Linked DNA regions of Saccharomyces cerevisiae S288C. The gene in region 3 interacts genetically with the main gene of each other region. Each region holds a gene or a part of one and is shown on either strand. Other genes may lie near its edges.

Region 1 (2,595 bases), on a different chromosome or scaffold from region 3:
ATTGACCAATCTAACATTGCTACGGTTAGGCATTTGTGAGTTCATTGTGTTATTATTGACAGCTAAACCAGAGTTCGTTGCTGTCAAAGGACTTTGCACTTGAGACATTTTTGGAAAACTATTTTCTTGGCTTATATGCTGTGTTCAGTAGAAACAACAAGTTTTGTCTATCAAAATGGAGAAAAAAACTTTCTAATATGATCTGCACAGAAACACGAAACACAACCACGTTCTTAAATCTCGAAAGAGAAAAACAATATCAAACGAAAGAAGTAATTTCCGTAAAGAAACTCTTTTTTTCTGTCTGAAAAAAAAGGTACTTAGGAATATATGCGGATTACAAAGGTATACAAAAAAAACTCTATCTCATACACAATAACTTAAACTTGCTTTTTATTATCATGTTCTTTACTTTTCTTTAATTTCCCTCCTGAAAAAATTAAAAATTTTTCATTACTCATTTTGTGGAGACACCCACAGCCCACACTTTAATGAGTGTTCTAACGTTCAAGGTTGATATTATCACCAAATTTAGCATACAGGATCGCCTTCAGAGCATCAAGACGGGAATCAATGTCTCTTTGCTTGTCCTCTAAAGTCTCTATTTTGTTGTCGAGACGTTCTGCGTCTTTTTCGAGCTGTGCGGTAACTTTGCTCTGTTTCATGAAGATAAAGAGGTCGCCCACCTTGTATTGCACGGGCTCATCTTCGTCAATCAATTCAATTTCTAGAGACACATCATCGAGGTACTCCTTCTCCTCCCTCTGTAAACTCAATTCCTGCGCAATGGCGTCCTTACGCATAATCAACTTCGAAAACTCGTTGATCTTTTGCTGATCTTCGAACGTTACCTGAGTGTTGTTCCTTTGTCCCTGTGGTAACAGTTCCATAATGGTCCTCTGTTAGTTTCTTGGCGTTGTGTATTCTGGTAGTTTCCGCAGGACCAAACAGAGCATAAGTCCTCTAAGTACTTAGCTTCCTGTAAAATTGTATGAAAAGCCGCCTCTGCTGATCATGAATGACGGCCTAGCGTTCCTCATATGATTTAGATAAAAACATAGAAAGGTATGTTAATAGTACGAGAGAATTCGGAGACCTTAGGTTTCACAACTGGAATTGGGTTAACTCGTTGAGTCACTGTCGAATGTCCGAAGAAGTATGGAATGGAAACCAAGGAATCCTCTCCGTATATGTGAGCAAAGCTAGAGACTTGCCTAATTTGAATAAACTGGACAAGCAAAATGTAATGCTTAGGTTGCGAATAGCTCATATGACAAGAGCCAGCAACACTCTACATCGAGCAGGTCAAAACCCTGTTTTCCATTATTTAGAAAAATTTGATATTACTCCAGAGATAAAGCCTTTAATGTACGTCGAAGTTTACTGCGATAGAAGGAAAAAATCTCCGCTGCCAATTGGAAGATGTGAAATAGACCTTTTAAATGCTATTAGAGCAGACCCGAAGGAGGGTTATTGTACCTGGTACGAACTGAAAAGAAGTGGGGATGAATTTGCTGGCACTATATTCATTGAGTTGACTTTCACTCCCAAAGTACCTCGTTTAAACAGGGACGATCTTAACAAAGAAATGGACAGGTTGGATTCATCTATGGCTATGAGGCCGATACCACCATTGCCAACAGAATCAGAGTATGACTATGTTCATGGTTCTACGATGAGACAGATTACTCCCCAGTGTGTTAGCACAAGTCACGAGGATAAGGATGAGGGACAGCCCTACAGAAATGGCAATGTTTTCTCCATGTCATCTAAATCAGATACAGCGGTATTGGCAAATAGTAATGACCCAATAATTTTACCTCCAACTTTTTCAGCATCCATGGGTACAACGTCTACATTAGAAACTAATGATACTGCTATATCAAACACTTCGAATACAAAATTCCATTTTGCCAATTTAAGGAAATTAAAGGAGAAGATAAATATATTTAAGAATCCTGATAGTTCAACAAACAACTGCCAAAATGAATCTAACAAGGTAGATATTGAGGCACTTCAAAAGGCTATTGGTGTAACTTCGTTGTCTTACGACGAAGATGATGACGATGACGACGAAAATGACGCATTTTATTCTTCCAGCCATAGAGTCTCCCACAACTATAACCAACCGCCCTTACCTCCTATACCGACCAGAGATGATATGTCCAATTATTCAAGTTCGCGCAATACGCCGTTAGTAAGAAGAGATAGACCCTCACGCCTAGATTCCTCTTCGCCTAACTCACATCCTCATCCATCAGGCCTGAATTCTCCAAAACTACCACCTCTACCGACTACTTCGAATTCCAATTTTAATTCGAGGAAGAATTCGATGTCTCCTACAAGAAAAAGACCACCTCCAAGGCTCAGCTAATGACAAGAGAAACATGCTGTTATTGTAATACTAATATTTAAATAGAATTAAGATTTTTAATGTTTACCAAGATTTTTTCTTTTTTAAATTTTATTATTTCAATATGTATACATAAATCTGTTGCGCCCTCACCGCCGATCTAAACCATAAAGAAAAATGCTAATTGTACAAATTCTGCTTTGAAGAATATCCAAAAATATGGTAAAGCGGTATAAATTTTC
Region 2 (2,542 bases), on a different chromosome or scaffold from region 3:
CCACATATCGCTGATGATATCCAATTTGAACTAAGACAAGTGGATCCGTACTACCGTCTAACATTGTCGCCAAGCGGAAACGATTCTGAAACTCAGTATTACACCACCGGTGAATTCATCCTTCCAGACCGCCATGGAGTGTTTACATTCCTCACTGACTATCGTAAGATTGGCCTGTCGTTCACTACTGACAAAGACGTTAAAGCTATCCGTCACCTTGCTAATGATGAATACCCAAGAAGTTGGGAAATCAGCAATTCTTGGGTTTATATTAGCGCCATTTGTGGCGTCATTGTTGCGTGGATATTTTTTGTTGTTTCTTTCGTTACGACTTCCTCTGTTGGCAAGAAACTTGAAACATTCAAAAAAACAAACTAATATATGTTTTCATATCCTTTATAATTCTTTATAAATGGCTCACATAAATACATAAGAGTACCTGATTGTGTTTATTTATATTTTTTGCCAAACTAAGTACTGCAATAGATTTTATATATGGTTTAGTTTTTAACGACTTGAATCTTATTGTCTTTTTTCCATTTTTCAAACTCTTTTGCAGTTTGTATTAAGGTTTCTTTCATTTTACTTATTGTACCTTCTATGTTTTCCTTCTTAGTTTCAAGAATAGGCAAACTCGTTTGAACATCACTTTCAACAAGTGCGCCACCTATCATCCTGTAACATTTTCTCGTCGGCTCAGCGTCTTTCAGTGTTTTTATGACTATAGTGTGTTCATCTTTGTCATGACCTAATTCTATGATTTTTGTTTGCAATTCTTCCAAAATTTGTTTGTATTCATTATATTTTGCTTGAAAGACTATACACAGAGAAAACACAAAGATTGTTAGTAAGATAAAATTGGCTACATGCATTTATTAAAACCCAGAGATCGAAATTTTGCATACCGTTGTTCCTTTGTTCCATAGCTGTAATATAGTTCTCCACTTCTCATGAATGAGTTTTAAAGATTAGTGAGTTTAGGTGATGAATTCTTTTTTTTTTTTTTTTCATTTACTTCCAGGCGGCAGCGTTCGCGATTTTATCTAAACTTACGTCAACACCACTAATATAGAGTTAAGGAACATACAAGTAGGATTTAAGGTTAGTTTATAATGTGTGTTCATTTACTTTTCTTTATCGCCCCCTTGTCATTTTGCCTGGGGTGAATTGATCCCAGCGAGTATATAAAGGCACCAAAAAAGACTAGGTAGACCCCGATGTAGCCAGTATATGACAAGTTATTATCGAAAAGTCGGACGCTCAGTAAAAGACTTATAAATTTTCTTACAAGTAATGTTATGGAAAGTGTCAGAGCGTTTGTTTTACTGGCGAGGATATTAACACCCTTGACGCAAAAATATTGTGTTAACACATTGAAAAGAAGGAGAGTTTCTTCTCGCGGGACTAGAATCTTCCCTCCAAAATTTGAACACAATATTCTTTCAGACTTTCTCATCACTCGATATTCGTGAATTAACTGCTTTCGACTAAATAGAAAGAGAGGTAATGATAAAAAATGACTGTAAAAGATATTCTCCTTCCAATGCTTTCCATATTTTTGATACGTACGTTCATTGTATGCTGAAAGTAAAGATGATGTGAATGATGAAAGTACTAGTATACAAATGCCAAAAATAAAAGTGAGATCTACAGATTGGTCACTTCCAATTTTCCACGCTTGCAGTTTCAAATCTTGGTACCGAAAATCAGCATCTTTGAATAATGAGGCAATTATAGCTCCAATGGTTAAAAATAGTGTTGATAAAATCTGAATCTTTGTATATTTCCTACCATTTAATAACCAGCATGTAAACATGGTTATTACGGTTCCGAAGCATCTGAAAACGATATGAATCGGAATGGATATGTTGTATTTAAATACGTTATTATTCGTCGTAGATGAAATATAAAATAAAACGACAGTAATGACATAAACGTGAAGTGGAGTTTTCAGAGGCTTGAAGTAAGGGAAAGGTTGATGAACATCCAGAAATTCGGGGAGTCCCTGACATGTAACAAATAAAAATTGACAAAAAGTAATGAGATTATTAATGCTGCCTGTTTCGTTGCTCATTAAGGTTTCAAATGTAATAACATTGGAGCAACAACCTCCGAACACTAGAGCGAATGCTTTTAGTGAGTTCCACATTTTTTAGATTCTCCCAATCCAATTACTTCCCTGCTTATTCTCAATTGAATTCTCTTCATTTTTTCTAACTGGAGTGCAAAGCACTGAATATTTTTACTTTGCGTCGGGAGCGATTGCTTCCTTAAAATATGACAATGAATATATAAAGGAAGAGTATGCGTAACCAAACCATAAGAAAGGCAGAGAGTGCCTAGCATGGTAGCAGACTTAACTAAAGGTATACTGAAATGGAAATCAAGAATAGAATTTGATGCCGTTGGAAGCAGTTCCTATTACGAAGAGTTAAAGGGCTTACCTCCCCTTGCATCCCATAAAAAATTAACACAGGCTGCTATCTTCAATAGCACGAAGTATGAGTTATTACAAGTAAAAAAAGACATTCTGTCCATCTAT
Region 3 (3,075 bases):
GGGGCTTTTGCTGAAGAACTTGTAGGCAATGATGAAGACGATAGTCTTGTATTGATTTCATGCATTTCTATTTCCCGTACTAAGTTAGCCAATGCACCGTTTTTTATGCTGAATTTCTGCTCTTCGTTTCGAGTATCCCAGAATACTTTTAACGTGTTCTGAATTCCTGTTTTATAGCTTTTTAAAAGATACAATCCAATTCTAAACCAACCTGTCATGAATTTCCTCCATTTGCCAACCTTAGTATCCAATTTTACCTGTTCCAAGATCTCCTGCTTGGGGAACTTAGTCATTGGTAGGGATCGATTAGAGTTTAGAGTAGCGGCCAGAGGCTCTGGAGAATCGGATGGTGTTGTCTTCGCATTCCAATCGACATCCTGTACTATCTGTAGTGAACCTAATTTGTAACGGCTATTCAACGCTTTAAATAGTGGTGCCTTCACTAAACCGTGCAATTGAATAGAATCGCTTTTTATCACCGATGGTGCTATGTATTTTCGTACCAGTGCAACTCGAGAATCCATATCGATGGCATTAAAGGTGTTAACTCAATTAAATAGATTAATAAAGTTCTTTTTAAATATAGAGTAAAATGTTCTTATATCTCGTCACTGTATCAACAGCCGTCTTCCACTTTTCTACTTTTGCATATAATATTCCGTGCATTTTCTAGCGAGATTTATTATTCATCCGCAACAGGTTTGTACATAATAAAGTATAAAAACCTGCATCAAAATAAATGCGAAAAGGTAAGAAAAAGGTTATCTATAGATTATTTAGAATCGAGTAATTCCTGTGCAGACGTAATAGCGGATCTTGCATCACTGACATCTTCGGTACCCTGGTAAGTTTTTAGAAATTGTTCTAAATCCTCTTTAAATTCTCTAATCTTCTCATATAAAGTAGGTAATAATCTTTTTGTGTCATCAAGGACCTCCTCCTGTTTCTTCAAGTCATATGGGTCAACTGACTTGTCTTCTTTAAGTTTTGCCACATGTGCTTCCTGATCTTTCAGTTCTTGTTGGTAGTACCCTTCCTCCTTAGTCAGCCTCTTCAAGGCCTTGACTTTTATATCCAATTGTGTGGGTGCCATTGATAGTGAAATGTAGTTTTCTTGAGTTCAACCTGTTGTGCTTTATGCTCAAAAATGCCCTTATAAGACGCACTGTATCTAACTGCTCTGTTTATATGTAGCCATAGTAGTTCTTCATTATGATCCTTTGCGGGTAATACTACAAAAGGTGCGACATAAGCGGCCATTTATCGTTGAAATTGTGACACTTTTCTATTGATGACCACCTCTGGTGCAAATACACAATGTGTCACCGCTCATGCCATTATTCTACTTATATACGTATGATTTTACTTGAAACCTAGAATAAATTTTTTTATTCGCTGTAAATGCTACTGCTGCAACTTGCTATTTCAATGCAGTCAATTTTTTTTTGAAGAATATTCAAAGCCCTATCCTCGTCATCGTTGTCATCTCCATCATCACTGTCATCGTCAAAAGTCATGACATGCATTATTTTAGGCGGATCGAGAATTACTTTTTTTAATTTTCTTATAGAGAGTTTATTCAAAAGCGTATTGCACGATGATGTTTGTGCAACTTTTGGAAGCTTGTTATGTATATCCAGATCTTCCACTGATACTGTTGAGGGCAAAGTCTCCGCAGCAGTGCAATAGCCTTCCTCACTAGTGCTTTCAGACACAATGGATGATCTCATTGTCCTCTTATTCGTGTTCCATACTATACTTTCTACTTCGGACAATTCCTCATCTGAATTCGATTGGTCAGAGTATGTACTGCATCCAGACGTGGTGTATTCTGGGCTAGAAATGACATCGTTTAATGTGTTAGAATTGACAGGTTTCAACTTTGGTGTTGTTGACGAAAACAAAGTCTCTGTGTCGTCAGGGCAGACGACATATGGTACCTGAAATGCCTCATTTTTTTTAGCTATTTGTTTTGAAGCGCATATATCGATAATTCTGTCAATTTCTGAATTTAGGGCAGTAGAATCGCTTGTAGAAACGTTTTCATAGGCTGATAGAATTTCGTCAAACAATATTTCACTACCGCTTTTGCCATACTTATTTTTTCTACAGCAATCTTGTGTCTGTGTTTGCATTAGGGAGACCGGATTAATAGGAGTAAGGGCTTTTACAGGCATTACAATTGGGGCCGGGCGAGAGACAAACACTTTATCAATAATATGATCCGAATGTGTCTTATGCCCTAAAGATTGTACTACTGCAGGCTTTGACAGCGTCGGCCTACGTAAACTTTTTCTTTGAATTGGTAGTGATTTTACCTTCTTTCTTTCTCGTAATGGTAGAATCGTGCTTTGAGGACAAACTGGTCCCTTGGGAACTTGCATGTCAGTAAATTTTTTCTCTCTAATCACCTCAAGTTGGGAGCGTGGCCTCTTCTTGAAATCATGTAAGAACAATTCTGGAACAGACTCTAACCGTTTCTTCAGTTTCAGTGTACCCCCAAATCTTTTAGACAACCTGTTACCACCGTTGCTGGTACGTAAAACCTTATCATCTTCATCTTCAAAATCTTGTGGTATCGGTGGAATATACTTCAAGTCATCAGCTGTTAATGTTAGCGAAGATGGTCTGACTGCATCAACATTCTTTTCAATTTTATTGCCCAAAAACTTTCTTGGCATTACTAAGTTATTCTGTAGGATTTTTTTGCTATCCTGCCCTCACAATTATAAATGGTTCATTCATTTAATAAATCCTTTTGAATATGAAAACTTCATCAATATAGAGTAGCAAACCATTTTTACAACATTTTATATCACGATCTGCGCAAAAACCTTAGAATCCCCGCACAGCTGCCCAATGACAGATATAGGCAACGTTGTTGGTGCTAATCATTTTTAACTTGTTCTTTTTCCTCCTAGAAACCCATTGACAGTTTGCTGGTTATTTTTTTCTTCTTCCGCTTTTGCTGTCGCCGCGAATGAGTGAAGGCTGGTCAACCTGGTTAATTAGTAGCGCTGGCTTTCAGGGTACGAAAGCAATCATGTTCAGACATAGGGTTCTGTCCTTTGCAGC

The links.
Region 1: mutations in RBL2 (region 3) and GIM3 together harm fitness more than expected from each alone (negative genetic interaction), as found in Saccharomyces cerevisiae (6 studies listed by BioGRID, with this or other methods).
Region 2: mutations in RBL2 (region 3) and GIM4 together harm fitness more than expected from each alone (negative genetic interaction), as found in Saccharomyces cerevisiae (5 studies listed by BioGRID, with this or other methods).

The regions. Positions count from the first base shown.
Region 1 is NC_001146.8:345,169-347,763, forward strand, and holds GIM3 (tubulin-binding prefolding complex subunit GIM3), read right to left. Parts: upstream 891-2,595; coding exon 501-890; downstream 1-500. Other genes in the region: serine/threonine protein kinase YCK2, read right to left, coding at 1-108; INN1 (Inn1p), read left to right, coding at 1,145-2,374. UniProt on the Saccharomyces cerevisiae protein: Binds specifically to cytosolic chaperonin (c-CPN) and transfers target proteins to it. Binds to nascent polypeptide chain and promotes folding in an environment in which there are many competing pathways for nonnative proteins.
Region 2 is NC_001137.3:146,558-149,099, reverse strand, and holds GIM4 (tubulin-binding prefolding complex subunit GIM4), read right to left. Parts: upstream 925-2,542; coding exon 906-924; intron 818-905; coding exon 501-817; downstream 1-500. Other genes in the region: WBP1 (dolichyl-diphosphooligosaccharide-protein glycotransferase), read left to right, coding at 1-378; YEA4 (Yea4p), read right to left, coding at 1,121-2,149; VAB2 (Vab2p), read left to right, coding at 2,345-2,542. UniProt on the Saccharomyces cerevisiae protein: Binds specifically to cytosolic chaperonin (c-CPN) and transfers target proteins to it. Binds to nascent polypeptide chain and promotes folding in an environment in which there are many competing pathways for nonnative proteins.
Region 3 is NC_001147.6:818,472-821,546, reverse strand, and holds RBL2 (Rbl2p), read right to left. Parts: upstream 1,094-3,075; coding exon 773-1,093; downstream 1-772. Other genes in the region: PNT1 (Pnt1p), read right to left, coding at 1-524; DSE3 (Dse3p), read right to left, coding at 1,389-2,681. UniProt on the Saccharomyces cerevisiae protein: Tubulin-folding protein; involved in the early step of the tubulin folding pathway.